2 linked regions of the Lonchura striata genome follow. The protein of the gene in region 1 binds, or shares a complex with, the protein of each later gene. Links are inferred from orthologs where the notes say so. Each region holds a gene or a part of one and is shown on either strand. Other genes may lie near its edges.

The links.
Region 2: MAP3K20 (region 1) and MAP2K3 share a complex: the UniProt entries of both Homo sapiens proteins name them as parts of the signaling complex. The link is inferred for Lonchura striata from reciprocal best matches to the Homo sapiens genes MAP3K20 and MAP2K3.

What each region holds. Positions count from the first base shown.
Region 1 is NC_134610.1:20,931,745-20,942,260, reverse strand, and holds the start of MAP3K20 (mitogen-activated protein kinase kinase kinase 20), read right to left. Parts: upstream 4,574-10,516; 5' UTR 4,544-4,573; coding exon 4,385-4,543; intron 1-4,384. UniProt on the Homo sapiens protein: Stress-activated component of a protein kinase signal transduction cascade that promotes programmed cell death in response to various stress, such as ribosomal stress, osmotic shock and ionizing radiation.
Region 2 is NC_134618.1:15,092,662-15,102,245, forward strand, and holds the start of MAP2K3 (dual specificity mitogen-activated protein kinase kinase 3), read right to left. Parts: upstream 4,497-9,584; 5' UTR 4,457-4,496; coding exon 4,441-4,456; intron 1-4,440. Other genes in the region: protein NATD1, read left to right, coding at 8,490-8,586. UniProt on the Homo sapiens protein: Dual specificity kinase. Is activated by cytokines and environmental stress in vivo. Catalyzes the concomitant phosphorylation of a threonine and a tyrosine residue in the MAP kinase p38.

The sequences.
Region 1 (10,516 bases):
TAAACTCAAGTGCACTACAGACACGACTGAACAAAGCATGCATAGTTAGTGCTACTCAATTTAACTTCTATCCACAAGTTAGTTCTGTTAGTTCACCAGAAATATTTAAGTATTTCCCAGTAAGATTACAATTACATTTTACTGGATTTTTTCCGCACCACTCTCCTGCAGTTTGCACAGACCACTGCCAGCATTCTGAAGGAGTCCAGTAACACATGTACTGTATGAAATCAAGTAATCTTGTACCCAAGTACCCTGATTGCAATGGCTGAAGCAATACCACTGCCCACTAATAGAATGAAGACAGCTTATGGACCACAGAGTACTTTCAAAGACCTGTGGTATTAAAATGAAATTCAAATTTCACATGAAATTCCAGCAGTAACAAACCACCTGGTGAGGAACCACACTCCATACACCAGCTGCCAACAAGCTGCCACCAATAGCACAGCCCTCAAAAGCAATGACAAATAACAGGTAAACTTCAGAAATGGGCAATCAAAGGAAGTGAGTGCTCTTCAGTGAAAAGCAATCGTGGCAAGGCATAAAACAACATCTGTAACACTTCATCCAGCAGTTATCTGCTCCGATAACGGAGTCAAAAGAACGGCTAGCAATTTGCAGAATAAGGCCCCTGGTTCCAGTCTCTCCCATTCATTTCAGTGGGAGCCAAATTACGGGTTTATCTAATAACTCATATAAATCCCTCACAAAAATGCCAAATAACTTCCAGAGTAGTAGATGTGCAATTTTCTTCACTGAGTGGACACAATTATCACTCAGGGCAAAAGGACTGATCCTGCTACAGGATCCTACACTCTGCCAAATGCATCATAAATATCATGCCGACAGCTTCATTTTCTATAAAACAATTCACTAGGAACTCCTGTTTCCTACTTTAAACCTAAAACCACTATAGTGGTCGTACTAGATGTGGCATCTTAATCTTTGTTTTGCTGCTATTTAATCACTCAGGCCATGTTCCTATGTTTTACTTAATCAGCACAATTCCTGTCCAGTTTCACATCTGATATTCTAACCAAGACCTTGTAGCATATATATTTTCTTCCTAGCAGACCTGTTTACGTGTATCTTTTCACATACACACACAAAGCTGCATCTCTTCCCACAAAGCTGCATTTTATTGCCTGTCTTAAAAAAAAGTTAATGCCTTGCAGAGGTATTTCTCAGATTTCAAAGAGTTTCAAAGCAATCTGTCTAAGCAACACTCTTCCAAGTATTTGTAAGTTTTTATAAGCACATATTCTAGTATGCTATGCTGGAACACAAATTGCTTTGTTTCACATGTTAGAACTTGTTAACCCCTTGGCTAATATAAAACCTTCACAATATTTGCTGGTTGTGATTGGCTTGTTTAATAAAATTACACATAGATACAACATATTTGCAGAATGATACTACAGCTCTATTGACTTGGCTTGCTCCCTTGGACTTGGCTAGCATGAAATGCCTCTGAGCAAGCTTTTCACAACCCTCCTATGTTTTCCCTCTAATCAGTTGTTATGGATTATTGGCAGCAGTTAACAGAACTATAAGACATGCAGTCATGGAGATAAAAGGACACTTCCTTCCAAATAAACTAGAAAGAGTAGAATCTCAGATTATCCCAAGCTGGAAGGGACCCACAAAGTTCATCAAATCCAACTCTCAGCCCCACACAGGACCATCCCCAAGAGTGCCTGAGAGCACTGTCCAAATGCACAGAATAATTAGTTTTCTGGACTAAGTGCATCCAAGTACCTACTAAACAGACACACAAGAGTTACAGCAAGTTATTTTTGTATTGATATCAGAAGAGTCATTAATTCACCATGACTTCAGTGCAGTTCAGTCACAGACATTCATTATTGTCATCACTTCAGATGAAGATGCTACATATGTATACATGTGAGAGCCATTAGGGTCAGAAGACCTTTTGGCCACCAAGTTGGCCTCTGGTGCAGCACAGGCTACTATACTTCAGCAAAATGCTCCTGTGTTGAGCTCAACAATTGGACAAAAACAATTGTCTAAAAAGAGATCTCAGTGAGAAGACAGATGAAAAGGATACTCCATCTTCACTCCTTTCATTTGTAGTCTGTGCCAAGTGTTACTCATCCTCACTCCTGATAATTTGTGCTTTTCTTTCCATTCTAATTTTTCTGGCTACAGATTTGAAGCACTAGTTCTTGCAATAACTTTTTGCACTAGATGAAACTATCCCATCATTTTCTCCATATGAAAATGCAATTTTTGTATGTAGGCTCTTACTTTTAAATTCTCTAAGGCTGTTGACAGAAAAGTTCTGCCAAAGCTTGTCAGACTTATTTAAGGCATCACCACTTGCCTCTCCGCTGCTTTTCCAGAAAACTTTCAAGAGAAAGTGCCCATACCAAGCTGTTCCCATAACCTGTCTTGTCTAGTTTAAGTTGCAAATTATAACCAGTCCGAAGAAAAATAAACAAATTCATGATGGAAGGCACTTCTGTCAACTCATCCTGATGGATGATATTCATCACCTCCTCTTGACACCCCCATTCTTACTAACTTTCCGCTCTGTGTTTTGCAGATTCCCTTGGGCTGCTTTTACAGCTCATTGACACTCTTTTAAACAGAACAGAACCACATATGCCTAACAACAATTTTCCCAGTGCTATATATCAAGATAAAGCACACCTGGTTGTTACAAATTACTTGATCCTGATTTGCATATACCAAGCAATTAACCTAATTTGCCTAACTGCACCATGATATGGACTCTTACTGAGTTGCAAGTCTTCATTAATCCCTAAATAAACCCTTACATTATTATAAGCTCTTTCTGGCATATGGTTTCCTTTTCCTACTGTAAAGCCTGTGTTCCTTGCTACTCCAAGCTTAAGCTTGTGTTGCACTGTCTTAAAAAAATTATTTTTGTTGAATGATCCAACTGTGTCAAGCAATACACAGGATTTTCCTTCTTCCATCCTTTCCCATTCCATTAAGTTTTATGCCATCCCAAGACATATTAATATTGGTTTTAAATTTACTTTCAAAAAATGCTTTAAGTACATAACAACAGGTCTAGCACACATACAGGTGTAACTCCTTCAGAAACACACATGTACAACAAAGGTATTTCACTAACCCTGACTGAGACCTGCCAGCCAGGTTATTTTTAAGGAGCACACTACTGATACTGCATCGCACAAATTTTACTTTTCATGTATCTTTTGATATTAACGATTAGTAGAAATAAAAGAGAACAGCACAAACTGACACTGGACAGAATGTATAAATCTTCCATTGTCCTAGAAAAATCTTGAGATCCTTTTACATTATTTTAACGAGCAACACGCTTAATCATGATCAAACATGCTTATTACATCACTAAGCATGACACAATCATGGCAGCTCGGCTGCTGCCTCAGTGGATTTACTTTAGTGTCTGATTATTTACTAAGTCTATTATGCCTAGCACTGCTCTGCTGTCCTCCAGCTTGTAACTGTCTTCCTACAATAGTCTGAGGAGACTGTACAGACATTACATACAGTCATGATGGAACAACAGTCCACTAACTCTGCTGTCCATCACTACACTGGGCTGTGCTCACTGCTCCATCGGTGGTGCTGACCAGCAGGCAGACTGGAGCTCTGTGAGGACCACATACACCACATCTCTGCTGAAACTATACGAAGCTGAGGGGTCAAAAGGACTTTTAGGCAAATTTAAAAAGCTTCGGAAAAAAACCAAACAACAAACCAACCTTAGCTGCTAAAGGTGCACTTAGCTAATTCTGCCTTTTTCCCCAGGACTGCCAAGGACCCATCTGCCTTTCCAGGTCACAAGACACCCCAAGGGAAGGTGACTGGCAGAACAGTTAGGGTTAAAACTACCTTGTTGCAAAACAAGCTATGACTATGTGGCTATGACTAACTAGGAGCTAGTGGAGCCCTAGATCAAAATCTTCATCAGGCAGGGAAGAGACAACTCTAAGCCTGTAGTGAACATAGAGATGTGAACCACAGAGCAGACATCAAGAGGACAAAATGGAATCAGGTAATGACAGGGACGCTACCTCTTCCTATCAGCAACATGCTGGTGGTATCAAGGGGAAATTAGTAGCTCCACAGGCACAGCAAGCTCTCCTCAGGTAGAGGAGAACTGCAAAACAAGAAAAGTGGGCAACAACAATGAAGGGTTAAACAACAGTGCTTTGAATTAGCCCCCTCCTCTAGGACTGCTAGTTATGTCTATACTGTAACATCGCCGCTTATGGAGTTTTGTAATTAAACAAACAAAAATCCCAAGGCAGTTTGCCTGCATTACCTAGAGGATAGAAAACACTAGAAAATAATTTCTGTGGTTACCACAGCAGACAATGAATGAAAAGTAAACTTTTACCTCTTTTTCTATTTTGAGCAGCTTCTTTACTGCCACCTCCTTGTCCTGAGAAATCCATCGGGCTCGGTAGACACTCCCAAAACTTCCTCCACCGCAGTTCTCAAAAAACTGCAAGTCATCAAATTTAATTTGCACAAATGAAGCACTGGTAGACGACATCTCATAATGACAAAATATACCACAGCAAAACCTGTGAAGAGAAAAGTTTTTATTAATGCACATGCTCCAAAGATTTATGGACTTTCTTACCCATGCTCAGTCACCACAAAATCATAATCACAAGCACACTACAGTAAAATCCACAGGCCACAGGAAGAAAAGAGCCTGAGAACGCGCATTTCACAGGGTGTGCTACAGTTTGCATAATCTATTAGGAGGAGTTGGGGGACAGAAACAACTAAGAGTATTCCTCAGAGCAAGCCTGGCGTTTCCGGAACACCTTGGAAGCAGCTCTGCAGAAGGCAGGCCCGTGGCTGCCTTCCCCGTGGACAGCCCGGCAGCCGCAGTCGCCCGGGCTGCCGCCCGCTCAGGCACGCCGGGCACGCCGGCCTGTCGGCCCCGCGCGGGGCACGGGGCACACCGCACCCGGGCTCACCGCACCCGGGCACACCGCACCCGGGCTCACGGGCTCACCGCACCCGGGCTCACGGGCTCACCGCACCCGGGCTCACCGGCACACCGCACCCGGGCTCACAGCCACACGGCACCTGGGCTCACGGCCACACCGCACCCGGGCTCACGGGCACACCGCACCCGGGCTCACGGGCACACCGCACCCGGGCTCACCGGCACACCGCACCCGGGCTCACGGGCTCACCGCACCCGGGCTCACGGCCACACCGCACCCGGGCTCACGGGCTCACCGCACCCGGGCTCACCGGCACACCGCACCCGGGCTCACCGGCACACCGCACCTGGGCTCACGGCCACACCGCACCCGGGCTCACGGGCACACCGCACCCGGGCTCACCGCACCCGGGCTCACGGCCACACCGCACCCGGGCTCACGGCCACACCGCACCCGGGCTCACGGGCACACCGCACCCGGGCTCACGGCCACACCGCACCCGGGCTCACGGGCACACCGCACCCGGGCTCACCGCACCCGGGCTCACGGCCACACCGCACCCGGGCTCACGGCCACACCGCACCCGGGCTCACCGCACCCGGGCTCACGGCCACACCGCACCCGGGCTCACGGGCACACCGCACCCGGGCTCACGGCCACACCGCACCCGGGCTCACCGCACCCGGGCTCACGGGCACACCGCACCCGGGCTCACCGCACCCGGGCTCACCGCACCCGGGCTCACGGCCACACCGCACCCGGGCTCACCGCACCCGGGCTCACGGGCACACCGCACCCGGGCTCACGGCCACACCGCACCCGGGCTCACCGCACCCGGGCTCACGGGCACACCGCACCCGGGCTCACGGCCACACCGCACCCGGGCTCACCGCACCCGGGCTCACGGGCTCACCGCACCCGGGCTCACGGGCTCACCGCACCCGGGCTCACCGCACCCGGGCTCACAGGCTCACCGCACCCGGGCTCACGGCCACACCGCACCCGGGCTCACAGCCACACGGCACCCGGGCTGACGGGCACACCGCACCCGGGCTCACAGCCACACCGCACCCGGGCTCACGGGCTCACCGCACCCGGGCTCACGGGCTCACCGCACCCGGGCGGGCAGCGGCACCCGGGCACACACCGCGCCCCAACGGCGCTCCGGGCGAGGTCCGAGAGCTTGATGCAAGGATGTGGAAAAACGTGGCCGTGGTAAATCTCTCTTCCCGAGTGACTCAGTTCTGTTTGCACGTTGTAACAAAGCGCAAGTACAGGGTAATTCATCTGGGTTACAATATGTGAAATTCTGCAGCCTGTGCCAAGACTGGTGTCGGCAGTTTCAAGAGATGATCCCAAATCTGCTGACAGGGGAACAGAACGTCCTTCCCCGAGATTTCACGGTGATAAAGCTTATGGCTGTAGCGAATTTCAAGAAACATTATCACCTAAATGCATGAACAATGACTAATTTTAGGTTTCTTTTTTTAATGATACAAAATCAGAAAGCTCAGGTCTTCAGTGGGACTGCAGGACACAGCATACTCCAGAACCACCTGCAAGTCTGCTGCAGGTTCACTTCAGATGCACCAGCCTAGACAAAGTAGTTTTAATTACCAGAAAACGTTACTATACTTGTAATTAATGACAGCAAACCTATCAGCATAAAATGAGAGATTAGTTTTAATAAAACAAGCAAAAAAAGAGCCAGAGATTTTGGGTTGATGGTGAAAACTACACATCCAATTTCACTGGTAAATTACAGTACCAAAATAGACTACGTCTTTGGGGAACTTCCATTCCATAGGGATTTTTGAGATAAAAGACATGTTATGTGTTGTCCGAAACACACCTGTGTAGTGCTGACTGCCAGAATCTCTTTATGCCAGTCCCTTCTGTGACATACACAAAGGCATTATTTGCCCCCTGTCTCTCCTGATTGTAAAACTAAGATAAAATTTTGAGATATCATTTGATCAGGAATTTCTGGCACTATTTGACTGCCGCTATTCTCCAAATGAGAGATTATGATATCAACACTTTTCTACACACGTTACAGAGCCTTCTCTGAAACTGCCTGCTTCATTTAATACCTCTTGACCACCCATAAGGAAAAATAAAAACACTGACCAGACGATGACAACTTTACTATGTATACTGAAAGGTTTTTAGCAAGGAGCAGACTTCAAGCCTTTCACTGACAGCCAGCACGCAGGGCTCCCGAAGAGGGAACATGAATGCTCTCTTCCCAGAGCTGCAAGTCAGAGCAGGAGTTACCACTAGGATATGAAATAAAGTCCATTCTTCCAATGCTCTTCAGCCTCTTTCCTAATACAAGTGCCTGAACTGTCCTGCTGACCTTCTGTTCTTGTTTTAACCTTGTTGCTGTTGTAACTTCCTGCATCCCATAGTCATCTTTTGCACAGCCTGCACACATTTTCTTAGAGAAAGCTCAAAGGAAATTGGTCAATCCTACAAACCAAGAGATGTTTTAATGTTTTGCTCCTTGCCATTGCTGCTTAATTAGCAGATCTTCAGAAACAAATGTTCATTTGCATTGTTTACTCCAGCAGTTACTCCAAGTTCATGCTCTGCACATGGTGTCTTAAGCATATGGGACACTTTACAGACAAATAAAACAGACTGACTTCCTAACTCAAAAACCTCACAATTTAAGGCCACAGCCCTGCACATATTTATGCACACAGGTAATCACACTCGAGTGAATTATTTCCTTACTGACAACAGAATTGGCTAGGAGTGATGTTACTCACAGGCAAAAGCATACGCACCAACTAGACCATAAATTTAACAGGAAGGTGGGAATAGCTGAAAACAGATCATTGCATTTGGGATGGCAGAAGGAAAAGGAAACCATGTGAAAAGAAAAACATATCCCAGGAAGGAAATTTCTGGCATTCACTATCTGAATTCAATAGCTTTGAAGAGCTGTCAAATTATTTAACATTACTGTTCACCCAGAGCCACCAAATTAACCATCCAAACTAGTAAATTATTTGATTTCTGAAAATTACACTAGCAGAGAATAGCATGCACACCAGACACTTCACAAATACAAATGAGTACTTTTCTGATAGGTCCTCCTTACTGCTTCAAACTTTATCTCAATTTTCATAGAATCACAATGCAGTGTCTGGCACACAAGCACTTGCAGAAGCTACCGTTCATTCTTTAAACACCTCAGTTTCAAATTTACCTACAGCAGGCAACCAGCTGCAGATCACAGGATCACACAAGGAATCAGGTGGCAAGACCTCTGAGATACTGAGTCCAATCTATGACCAAATGCTACCTTGTCAACTAGACCATGGCACTGAGTGCCACATCCAGTCTTTCCTTGAACACCTCCAGGGACAGTGACTCCACCACTTCCCTGGGCAGTCCATTCCAATGTTTAATCACCCTTTCTGTGAAGAAATTTCTCCTCATGTCCAGCCTAAACATCCCCTGATACATCTTAAGACCATGTCCTCTAGTCCTGTCACTGTTTGTCAGCGAGAAGGGGTTCATCCCTGCCTGACCACAACCTCTTTTTAGGTAGTTGTAGAGATGCTACATGGCATACAATAAGTTAATGTTATTTAAAGAATTATTCATTGGTTGGCATCCAGATGCTGGATGTTGGTTGTTCCAGATGTTTTTTTTTTCCAGAGAAAGCAGAGGAGATTTAGAAGAGACACTCTTTAGTAAGAGATCTGTAATTAAAACCAGCCTGCATTAGTTTTCTTTTACTAGATGAAACAACAGACCTGTTTAAACATTACTCCATGTTTTTGAATTCAAGATAGGTGATCCTCAATTAGAAAGATCAGTCTGTGTTATGTTTGAGAAAACAACTGTTTAGATTAAAAATTGCAAGTGACAAATCCACACACACTTATTAACTTGTCATCCTGTTTTAAAAATATTTAACAATCTGAGTTTGTAACACTAGTTAAGAGAAAAAAAACAAAACATCACGCATTTCATTAAACTATAGTCTTCCACTTGCATCTGAACCAAGCACAGCATTCCAACAGTGTGTGGCACTTCTTTGCATCTTACACTTCTGCAGACAGGAGAGCAGCCCGCTGTAACACCCCCTCCAGGCCTGGACCTTACAGCAACTCCCCTGCACACAGCTCAGGGGGGGTTGGCACCCGCACCCTCCTTCACCACTCACGATTTCAGGTGTTGAAGTACCATCACTGTGTAGCAGGGAAACGCTGCATTGACTGTTTCTTGCTCTCAGTTAAATGAAAACATGACAAATCGGAAATAGTGAATGACAGGTATTTCAGGAAATAATTAAACTGCTGGTTATTTCAGTTATTCCTATGGGATATTCCTGGGGGTAAAAGAATTTTTTTCCTTTTCCTGTTTTATTTCTAATAGTTAGCATGAGCTTGTAATCTTGCAGCAACATCTGTATCTTCTTCTGGCTCTTTGTTTTCTACATAGTAATTTATATTTGAGTATGCTGTTGGAAGCTGCTCATTTCATACCAAAAAGTAAGAGATCTGAATTGCATTTGACAGTGTTTCACATTTGAAATTATAATTTAACAATAGTATACAACATGTCAGGACTATTACACAGAGTCACTCTGCAGCAAGTGAAGTCACATTATGTCACCACAAGCTCAGTTCAGCACATCAGTGATGCAGGTGTAGGAAACCATCCACCATCACTGGCTTCTTGCGATTACAGCACTTAAGGGGATTAAGCCATGTGAAGGTCCTGGCCCTGCAAAGGTCCCACGTCTGCGGTTTCCTCTAGAGGCTCCCAAGGCGAGGGAATCCCCCAGGCAAGCAGGACACTGCTGCAGGCTGCCCTGCATCTTAGCACAGCAACACTGGAAGAACTCAACACATCCCAGCTCCCTACAAACTGCAATGTAGGGGAAGTGCTGCCATGCACAACACTCTGCTTTATTCCACATAGAAAACAGAAGTCCCTTCTGTTTGTCATTCAGCTACTGCTCCCAGAGTACAGAGAGCTTCCACTGAGGGACATAAAGACAGAAGGGAGGAAATAATTTACAGACTGCACAGTAACTGCAACTCATATTTTGTTTAGTGCGTGGCTGCGAAACCGAAAATTGCATCTCTCATCTTGCACGTGCACCTGACGCTACTCAAGTATTCAATTACTGCAGGAACAGCCTTTGTAATTTATTACGGGAAACAAACATGCAACTCCCTGCCCCTCACTTTACTGTGTGGTTCCACAAAGTAGGATTCAGTGCTTCTTGCAGGAAGGCACACTGCCAACATATTGCCAATAAAGTAGTAGCACACCACACTTGTGCTATCTTAAAATACACAGCTGAATGTGCCAAGTTTCCTTATTTGGCAAAACAGCCCATTTGCTTTCAGGATCTTTGACCATCCATTTTTAGTCCCAAATCATCCTTTGTATCCAACAAGGCCTGCAGTCCTTGAGCATACCAACCTGGATTTTTCAGCAGTATATTTATACAGAGTTTAAAAATATATATATTAAAAAAAAAAAAAAAATTTCCAATTAAAAACCCACCCTTAAACACCAAAACATGATTAACC
Region 2 (9,584 bases), on another chromosome or scaffold:
AAATAATTTCAATTGAAATGATGAAATTAAGGCTTAGAGCACAGATCAACTCAGCAGTGCCCCTACCTGGGCACAGTGCAGGCAAGAGGATGGAGGCTGTGGCAGCTCAGTGGGTGCTGGAGAAGGTCCAGCTCATCCTCATCTTCACCCCACTGCAGGTCCCCAGCATAAGGCAATGATTTCCTTCCTCTCCTACTCACTGGGACCCCCAAATCCTGCCCCTCCCCTTGGCCACGCTATAACCCACCACATTCCACACAAGCAGCCTTTTGCTGGGCAGAGAAATGGCTGCAAGAGAAAGGAGCACACAGGGAGCCCTGTCCCAGCTCCAAAAAAGAGAGCAGACTCAGATCCATGGCAAACTGAGGCCCACTGAGGCCACAAGGCAGCACTGTGACATCTGAGATTGCTGCAGCTGTGCCCAATAATTCCAGAATTCCTTTGGACAAGGAACATTGGGACTCACAGCACTGCCACAGCATCACTGCAGCATTGCCCCCACACAGATAAGAGGCTGTGAGGAGATGAAAAATCTCCCAGGTGGAAAAAACCAACAGAAACTTCCAGTTTCCATCATAAAAAAAATCCTCTCTGCCCTTTTCCCCACTCCAAATCCCTGACTAACACTTGACCTGTGCTACAGAGGTTTGTCAGCAAGAGGCAGCGGGTAGATCCAGCTCCATATGAACCCACAAGCCATCCTGAGTCATACCAGCAAAACCCCAAACTTTTTGTTGATAGAGTAGAATCACCTCCCCAGCCAACACAAGCTCCTCTCCCAGCTCTTTCCCCACCAAACAGCCAGCCCAGGCTGTGCCTTATTAACCAACACAATCAAAAACCACCTTCTGTCCAAAAACCCACAGAGCCACACATCTGCAGAGGTGTCACTTTGGGGCACAAAATCACCAGTACCAGAAAGCTGCTCCCAATGGGAGCCTCTACAAAGTACAGAAGATTCCTCCAGTAACAACAACCTTTGCAAACCAACTCCAGCTCAGCCCTGGACCACAGCTCAGAGCTGGAAAACAAAGGGATCAGCCTGCAGTGAGATTCATTATCCACTAAAAGAAAAGCAGGGAAGCATCCCTCCAGGGAGGGAAATGGATTGCTGAGGCACAGCTAAATATTTATCACATCCAGCACGATATTTTCCAGGCGCCCACCGTTATGCCAGCAGAGGAGGAAGGCAGGAACAAAGTGCTGTGCTTTCTCCAGGATCGTTACAATTAATTGGATTCAAACTCCGTGGTGCTTCAACTTGAATTAAATAATGGCTCCATGGGATCAGAGCTCCCACCTCTCCAACCCTGGGAACACCAGGCTGGTGGCTGCTCTGCCTGGACACGACGGGAGCCCAGAGCCAAAGTCCTGCTTCGGCGGGTCACGACCCACACGTGTATTTTTGGCAGAGCTGCCTTTTTTTAGGGATGGCAGCTGGAAAAGTGTGAATGGCAGATGAGACAGTGCTGGATTCACAGCCTGGATTGCCTAAGAGTGGTGTGCTCCCACAGAGGGCACGGCCAGGGCACAGCAGGGACGAGGCACCACCACTTATTTACCCACCCAGAATAGACAAGCCACGAGAACAAGCACCAGTTCATCCCCAAGTCCTGGCATTCCTCACTGCTGGCTTTTCCAAGCCTCTGTGGTGAAGGAGAGCTGCCTCCCCAGAGGCACAGCCTGGCTCCAGACAGATCCTGATCCCTCTCCCCCCAAAAGCACTTCTATTCCCAAAGGACATCTCCCTGCTAAGGAAAAACACTTGTTTTTGAATTACTCAGGCATCGGTGCTGGGTGAACCAGGACAGGACAAGCAGGTCTTCTCCCTCGAGATCCCACCCATACACTCACCCTCCCTCTTTCCCCTCCCTGCAGCTGCTTTTCCCCAGAAAACTCCCAATATTTTGGGAAACAACTGTTTCCCCAGCAGCACACTCCTGCCTGTCCCTCCAGGCATCAGGGGCCACTCAGGTCACAGCCAACAGCCCCAGGGATGGGCACAGGGATTTCCATGTGCAGGGCAGGCAGAAAATACACTTTGAGGCCCAGGGAAAAGGGTTTTGTATCCCCAGAGTCTCAGACCTTGCATCCTCCACTGTGTTTCTGCACCCACACAAAGGCTGAAAATTCCCTGAGGCTTCATCCCCTCCTGCTTTAACTTCTGGGTTACAACACCCTCTCTGCACAGCGTCCATTCACCAAAAAGGTGCAGACCTTGCTGGAAAATCACAGCCAGGCCCAGCCCCATGTTGCCAGCTGCAGCCAGAGGCTGTGTCCCTTGCAAAGTTCTGCAAGGAGGACACAGGGACAGCTCCAGAGCTTTGCTCCCAATTCCTTCCTACTGTGCCACCCAGGCCATGAGACACAGCTCGAGGGAACTTGGGTGACCTGAGAAAACAGGGAGTTTTTGCATATATGAGTAAACATCAGCCTCAACAGCGCAAGATAACACAGGAGACTTCTCCCACATACAAGATCCTGTGAGATAACTTGGATCAAACAGACAGGAGCAACGGGAAGAGGAAGAAAGAAAGCCAAAATCCTCCCTAAGAGCCACAAAATCCCCAGGAGGTGTTTATCTCCCAAGCTACGTTTAGTGCAGAGCAAAGCCCCGGCACAGCACCATTCCTGTCACCAGTGTCACGGCCAGCCACGTATCCCAAAAATCTCCCGAGGCAGGAGACAACCCCATGACTAAGCCAAAGTGATGGCAGGTGAGTTTTGGAAGGCATCTGCCACAAAAAGAGCCAACCAAGAGCTTCAACACAGCAGCCTCTGTTTACAACCCTGAGCAACACAAACCAAAGGAGAACCAGCAAAGGAAACCTGAGATTGTTCACTGAAATTCCCTAAGGAAAAGCAGGGAAATTTAGCTTAAATTCAGGCTGCCTGAAAGAGAGAGAAGCAGCTGCCATGAGCAGCAGGTACACACACTCAGACCTGTGAGCATCCCTGGAAAAACCAGCTGGGAGGCAGGTGCAAGCCAAGGAGAGGCAGGATGAGAGGAGGATCACACTCAGGGATCCACCCTCGTGCTGCTGCTGCTGTCCTGATGGAAGCAAAGGAGCTCAGGTCAGACGGGGACTCTGAGCTGCCAGCAGACACCAGCTGCTTTCAGCACACACAGGGTGACACCTCCAGCACAGGACACCAGGGTTAACTGCACGAATGAACCAGTCTGCCACAACCAACAGAAACCTCCACGCACAGAGCAGCTCCAAACCTCCTCTGAGGAAAGCACCGCGCTCCCAGGCGCTCCTCCAGGCATCACCTCTTGCTGTCAGCCACGCTGCTTCCCCCAAAATCCTCCAGGCCCAGCTTGAGCTTCATCTCCCATGGGGCACAAGTGGTCCCTGGGCCAGGCTCACCTCGTCCCTCCATCCACACATCCGCCGCTCCGGCACAGGCAGCCGAGGAAAGGTCTGCGCTCCGGTGTGCCAGCCTTTAAGAAGCCTGGATGATCCCTTCCAAGGCTGGATGGCTGGAGGCATGTGCTCCTACCTGTGAGTCAGCAGCTCCGAAAATCGCTGCTGATTCACCCCCTGCTTACACAGCAAACAGGAAACTCAGGTCCACATTCCCTCCGGATAAGACACGGATCGTTTCAAACCGGGGGGAGGTGGAGGAAAGAAAAAAAGAGTCACGGGAGGCGCGTTCATCTGCTCACATGGCTCCTGACTTCGACTTTCCAGAGCATCACTCCCGCACGGGGAAAACCCCTCGAATTTTATTCCGCGGATTCGAGAGGCAGCGGCCGCACTCCGTGCGCTCCCTCCTCCGTCCGGTGCGCGGATGGAGCCGGCTCCGGGGAGCACCGGGACACCGGCAGAGCCACCTCCCTGTCCCCATCCATCCCGGCACGTACCGCCGGCCGGTGCTCTCACCTTGCGATGGGCACCTGAGTCACCGTGCTGTGCGAATAACCCCGGTGACACACGGTCACGTTCCGCGGCTGCGGACAGCGGGACAGCAGCGCGGCACTCCCGGCACACGCCGGCACCGGGTCCCGGCCGTGCCCGGACACCGGCACGAGGCGACACGAGGGGACACGAGGCGACACGAGGCGACACGAGGCGACACGAGGCGACACGAGGCGACACAGCCCACGGCCGCAGTCCCAGCCCGCTCCGTCCCTCCCGGCCCAGCCCGGCGGGGGCTCCGCTGGCCCGCGGCTCCCAGCCCGGAGTTCCCGAGCAGCGGGAGCTCAAGGCAGGCAGGCGAAACTCGCGGCAAACAAACACAGCTCGCCTGTTCTTATCGCTCTCCCCACGCCAAACGCAGCCTCGCCCCGTCTCCCCCACCCCGCATCCCCACCGAGGGTTCGCAGCCCCCGGCATCGCGGCTCCGGGACCAGCGCAGAGGAAGCCGCGGGGAGCCCACGCCCGGCGGGCTGGGCAGCAGCCCCGGCCCCGCCGCCCCTCCCGAGCCCGCTCGTACCTCTGGGCAGGGACATGGCGCTGTGCGAGCCCGGCGGGCCCGGCCCCAGCGGCGCCCGCCGGTCCCGCCCGCCGCGGCCCCGCCGGCGGCCGCCCCGCCGGGCCCGCCCCCGCGCCGCCATTGGCCAGCGCCGCGCCGGGGGGCGTGGCCAGGGCCCCGCGCGGAAACGGCTCTGCGGTTCTCGGGCGCGGCTGTGAGGGGGAAGTGAGGCGGGCGGGTGCTGCTGCCCCTCAGGAGAGGTGGCCTCGGTGTCGCCGTCGTGGCCCCGGGGACGCTGCCCCGAGAGCGGCGACACTGCCGCGGGGTTGGGGCGCCGAGCATCCCCCCCTGTGCTGCTCCTCGGCCCTCACCTCCTCTGTCAGCTGAGGGTGGTCACTCACGCCTCCCGTGGGTCCCGCGTGCCGTGGGTGCCAGCGGCGTGTCCGGCTGGGAAATGGCCGGGGAGCCAAGGGAGCGGCCGGAGCTGTGTCAGGGGGGTTTGGGCTGGATATCAGGGAAAGGAAATTCCCCCCAGAAGGTGACCAGGCACTGCCCAGCCTCCCCAGGGGATGGGCACAGCCCCAAGGCTGCCACAGCTCCAGGAGTGTTTGGACAACGTTCCCAGGCATAGGGTGGGATTTGGGGGCCTGGAGTTGGACTGGATGATCCTTGTGTGTCCCTTACAGCTCAGGATGCTCTGATTCCATGGTTAATTCCTCCCTGAGTCACTGAGGAATCAACCCCTCCCAGACGTGGCACATCCTGGGGTAAGGATGCTCCCACAGCCACCCGAGCTGGGCTGCAGGCAGAAATGCTGGATACGATGTGAGAGATGCAGCTGAAAAAGCAAAAAAAATGAGATTCCAAGTGCCATTTTCTGGCTGGAATTCTTCGTGTGATCCATAAAGACCAAAGGAGGAGTTGGAGGGGTGGCAACTGCTGGCAGCACTGGTGAGATCGCAGCTGCTCTGCCACAGCCAGCTCTCAGCTTTGCAGAGAGTTTGGGATAAATCTGAGGACTGGAAAAACCTCCTCAAAGCCAGGCAGTAGAAGGGATTCGCTGCCAGAGGGAAGGAGCTGCAGGAGTTGGGATCTGTGGCTGCACGGGTGCCTCAAGCACCAAAGGCACCAGATCCAGCTGCACACTGAGGGTGGAAGAGCTCAAATGCAACATCAATTACAGGTTTTTAGCGGGGAGAGCAATTACCTTCCCCAGAGAGGTCGCAGATTCGCCACCTTTCAAGTCTTTCAACACAGACGAGGAGGAGTCTTTCCAAAAAAGCCACTGCTCTGCAGCCCAGCCGCGGGTCAGCAGCGCTGATGCAAGAGCTGTGGTGTCAGTGCAGGGCTGGGCCAGCTGAGGGGCCCTTTCTGACCTTTATCCACACGGATCTTGGAGCCAGCAGCGGGGTTTGAACTGATCCACACAGCTCTGGGCTGAGGCAGTGCTTGGGTGTGAGTTTTGGGGGGTCTGTGGCAGAGCAGAGCATCACCAGCTCTTTTACAAATGGGGAGCTGTGGGACCGGCTCTGACAGCTGGCCCTGCTGCTGGCAGCACCTGGGGTGTCACTGCGAGCTTGGGGACATGGCCCTGCTGTCCCCAAATGTGCACCATCCCCCTCCTGCATCCCTGGAGGCTGCTACATCCAGGGCTGGATGAAGCAGTGACTGGATTTGAGTCTCTGGCTCTCAATCCCAGGGGTGAGAGGGGACACACAAGTGTCACCAAGGCTGCCAGGCCTTCCAGCACAGGAGCTCTGCAGGGCACACAGGGAAATTGGGAGCACTCAGCATCCAGATCCAACAGGGTGGGAAGGCAGGGAGCACACAGACCCCCACGAGCTGTGAGGAAGGCACCAGAAGCACCCTCGAGGTCACCTCCCAGCCATGGTAGGGCTTGGGGATCTCCTGGGGGACCTCTCCACCTCTTCTGCAGCTTCCCATGGCTGCTTCTGCCTGCCCCTCCTCGTCTGAGCCGCTGTCCCAGGGAATCAGCACAGGCACAGGATCCCCATGGAGCCCGAGTGCTCACAGAGATTTTGGCAAGTTTTGCTGCAGTTTTGGCACCCATGGAAAGGCTCTCCATGCTTTCAGGGGCTGTAGGTGAACCTTTGGCTCTGGGTCAGGGCGATCACCGAGGGCAGTAAGGTGTTACACTGTGACATGAAATAACTCACAGAAGCAGGTTGGATGTAAAAGGAAAGAAAAAATAACTCAAAAAAGTAAACTTTATTTTCTGACTCTACTATATATACATTAGCAAAAATGGTAGTGGATTGGAGGGTGAAACTGCCACCTCTCCAGCTGCACTGGTCAAGCTAACAGTCTATAAATTCTCTCCACCCACAAAGAAGAATGTAAAACAGTTATTATTTACATGAACATGTGTGAGAAAACTCAGTAGAAATATGTAAATATTAGAAGGCATAGGAACTTTTAGAAGAACTTTAAAACTCTCCAAAGAACAGGGTGACAGTAAGGAGTTGCTCACCCATGTCTGGGCAAAACCTGCTTCTCCTTCCTCCTCTCTCCTAAAACTTCAGCCCTGCTGTGTCCTGAGCATCCCTGTGTGCTGGAGGGCATCAGCCCTCCCTGACAGCTCTGGGATCATGCCAGTTATCCCTCCCCTTCCTCCCTGCCACACGCCAGCCGTGCTGGGCCTGGCTGCTGCAGGCTTTGCATTCCCTGCGCTCCCCTGCTGTTTGTGCCTCCCTGCAGCAGCACACAGCTGCCAGGGAGGGGATGGGGTGAAGGACAACACCTCCTCACCAACATTCATGGAGAAGGAAGGGAATTTACCCCTCTGCCCAGCAGACACCCAGTCCTTGGGGCCAGGCTCGATGGGAGCGGGGAAAGAGCAGGAGACCAGAGCAGAAAACCAGTGCGGGGCCAGTAAAGGACTGGTAAAAAACAGTGCAGGACCAGTACAGAGCCACTACAGAACCGATGTGGGGTCAGTGTGGGACCAGTACAGAACCCGTACGGGACCAGCACAGAACCAGTGCAGAATTAGTGTGGGACTGGTACAGAACAGTACAGAACCCATGTGGGACCAGCACGGAACCAGTGCAGAATTAGCGTGGGACCAGTACAAAACCAGTGTGCAATTAGTGCAGGACCAGAACGGGACCAGTACAGAACCAGTACAGAACTCGTGCAGGACCAGTATGGGACCAGCACAGAACCAGTGTGGAATTAGTGTGGAATCAGTGTGGGACCGGTACAGAACTGGTACAGAAACCGTGTGGGACCAGTACAGAACCAGTGTGGAATTAGTGCAGGACCAGAACGGGACCAGTACAGAACTAGTACAGAACCTGTGCAGGACCAGTGCCGAACCAGCACAGAACCAGTATGGGACCAGCACAGAACCAGTGTGGAATTAGTGCAGGACCAGAACGGGACCGGTACAGAATCAGTACAGAACTCGTGTGGGACCAGTATGGGACCAGCACAGAACCAGTGTGGAATTAGTGTGGAATCAGTGCGGGACCGGTACAGAACCAGTGTGGAATTAGTGCAGGACCAGAACGGGACCGGTACAGAGCTAGTACAGAACCTGTGCAGGACCAGTGCCGACCCAGCACAGAACCAGTATGGGACCAGCACAGAACCAGTGCGGAATTAGTGTGGGACCAGTACAGAACCAGTGCAGAATTAGTGTGAGACCAGTGTGGGACCGGTACAGAACCAGTACAGTTACCTGTGCGGGACCAGTGCCGAACCAGCACGGAACCAGTGCGGAATTAGTGCGGGACCAGCGCCGAACCAGCACAGTACCAGTGACAAATCTGCACAGAACCAGTGCGGAATTAGCACGGGACCAGTACCGAACCCGCGCCGTTCCGGCGGCCGCTGGTGGCGGCGCCGCCCGCGCGGGGGCGCCTGGGCTGCCTGCGGTCCCCACGGCGGCGTTGGCGTTGCCCCTTTAAGGGCCGCGCGGCCGTACCAAAACAAAAGCGCGGCGCGGCCATTGGCTGCGGGGCGGGCACGTGCCGCACAGCTGGGGCTTCCTGCGGCCGCGGCCGCGCCGGGCCCGACCGCGCCTCGGCACCGGCACCGGCACCGCCATGGCGCACTCCGCGCCGCTCGGCCTCCTGGAGCAGGGCTGCCCCATCCAGGTGGAGCACGATCGCAAGCGGCGGCAGTTCACCGTGCGGCTCAACGGTAAGGGGCGGCGCTCGGGGCTCCCGGGACGTTACCGCTGCCCTCCGCCCTCCGCCCCGGTCCGGCCGCGCTGGCCGCTCCGGATCCCCGTTCCTCTTCAGCTCTCGCTGTTCCCCCCCTTCGCCCCACCCCACGTTGTCTCTCCCCCCTTTCCCCTCCCTGTTCTTCCTCCCCGTTGCTCTCCCCTTTTTTCTTCTTCTTCCTGCCCCTTTTTCCCGTTCTCACCGATTTCCCCCGTTTCTCCCGGTTCCCCCTCCTGCCGTGCCGCTGAGTCCCGCTGCATTTCCCCCGTGCTCTCCGCCCTGCCGCGGTGTGACCCCCCGCCCCAGCCCTTCCTGCACCCCAAAACCTTCTCGCAGGGGATGCGGCATCGCTGGGCTCCCTCGCTTGGGGTGTGTGTGCAGCCCGGTGGGGACACGGGCAGCTTGGGGGGCACTGCCCCGGTCCCCCCGGGAGCAGGTGCCTGCGGGGGATGTGGGGGTGCTGGGAACCGGGGCCCCTCTGGGGATGTTCCTTCAGGGAAACCCCAGCACGGTGGGTGCCGCGGTTCTGTAGGACCAACGACACGGATCCAAGCTGTGACAGCCACCTGTGGAGCTCTGGTGACACAGTGACCCCCAAAAAGTCCGTCACATATTGGGTGGAGTGAACAAAGAAAAAAAAAAAGTAGGTGCCACTAAAATTTCTCTGTGGTGCACTGATTCTTTCCCAGCCTTCATCTTAATGGTTAATTACAGATAGTCAACGATCCCGGCATCTCTTTCCCATCCATTTGTCATACTGAGAACTACTCTGGGTAAAACTGCCTCGCTGCCCTGCAGAAATTGCAGGGTAGCTGCCTTAAAAAAAAAAAAAAATAGCATGTAGTTCAGAAATCATAGGGAATGCAGGAGGCTTCGTCAATAAAACAACAAGAATAGTCCAGATTTTATTTTAGACTTCTCTTTCCCCCCACCCCATTTTCATTTCAACCACTAATTACAAAGTGCAGGCTGGAG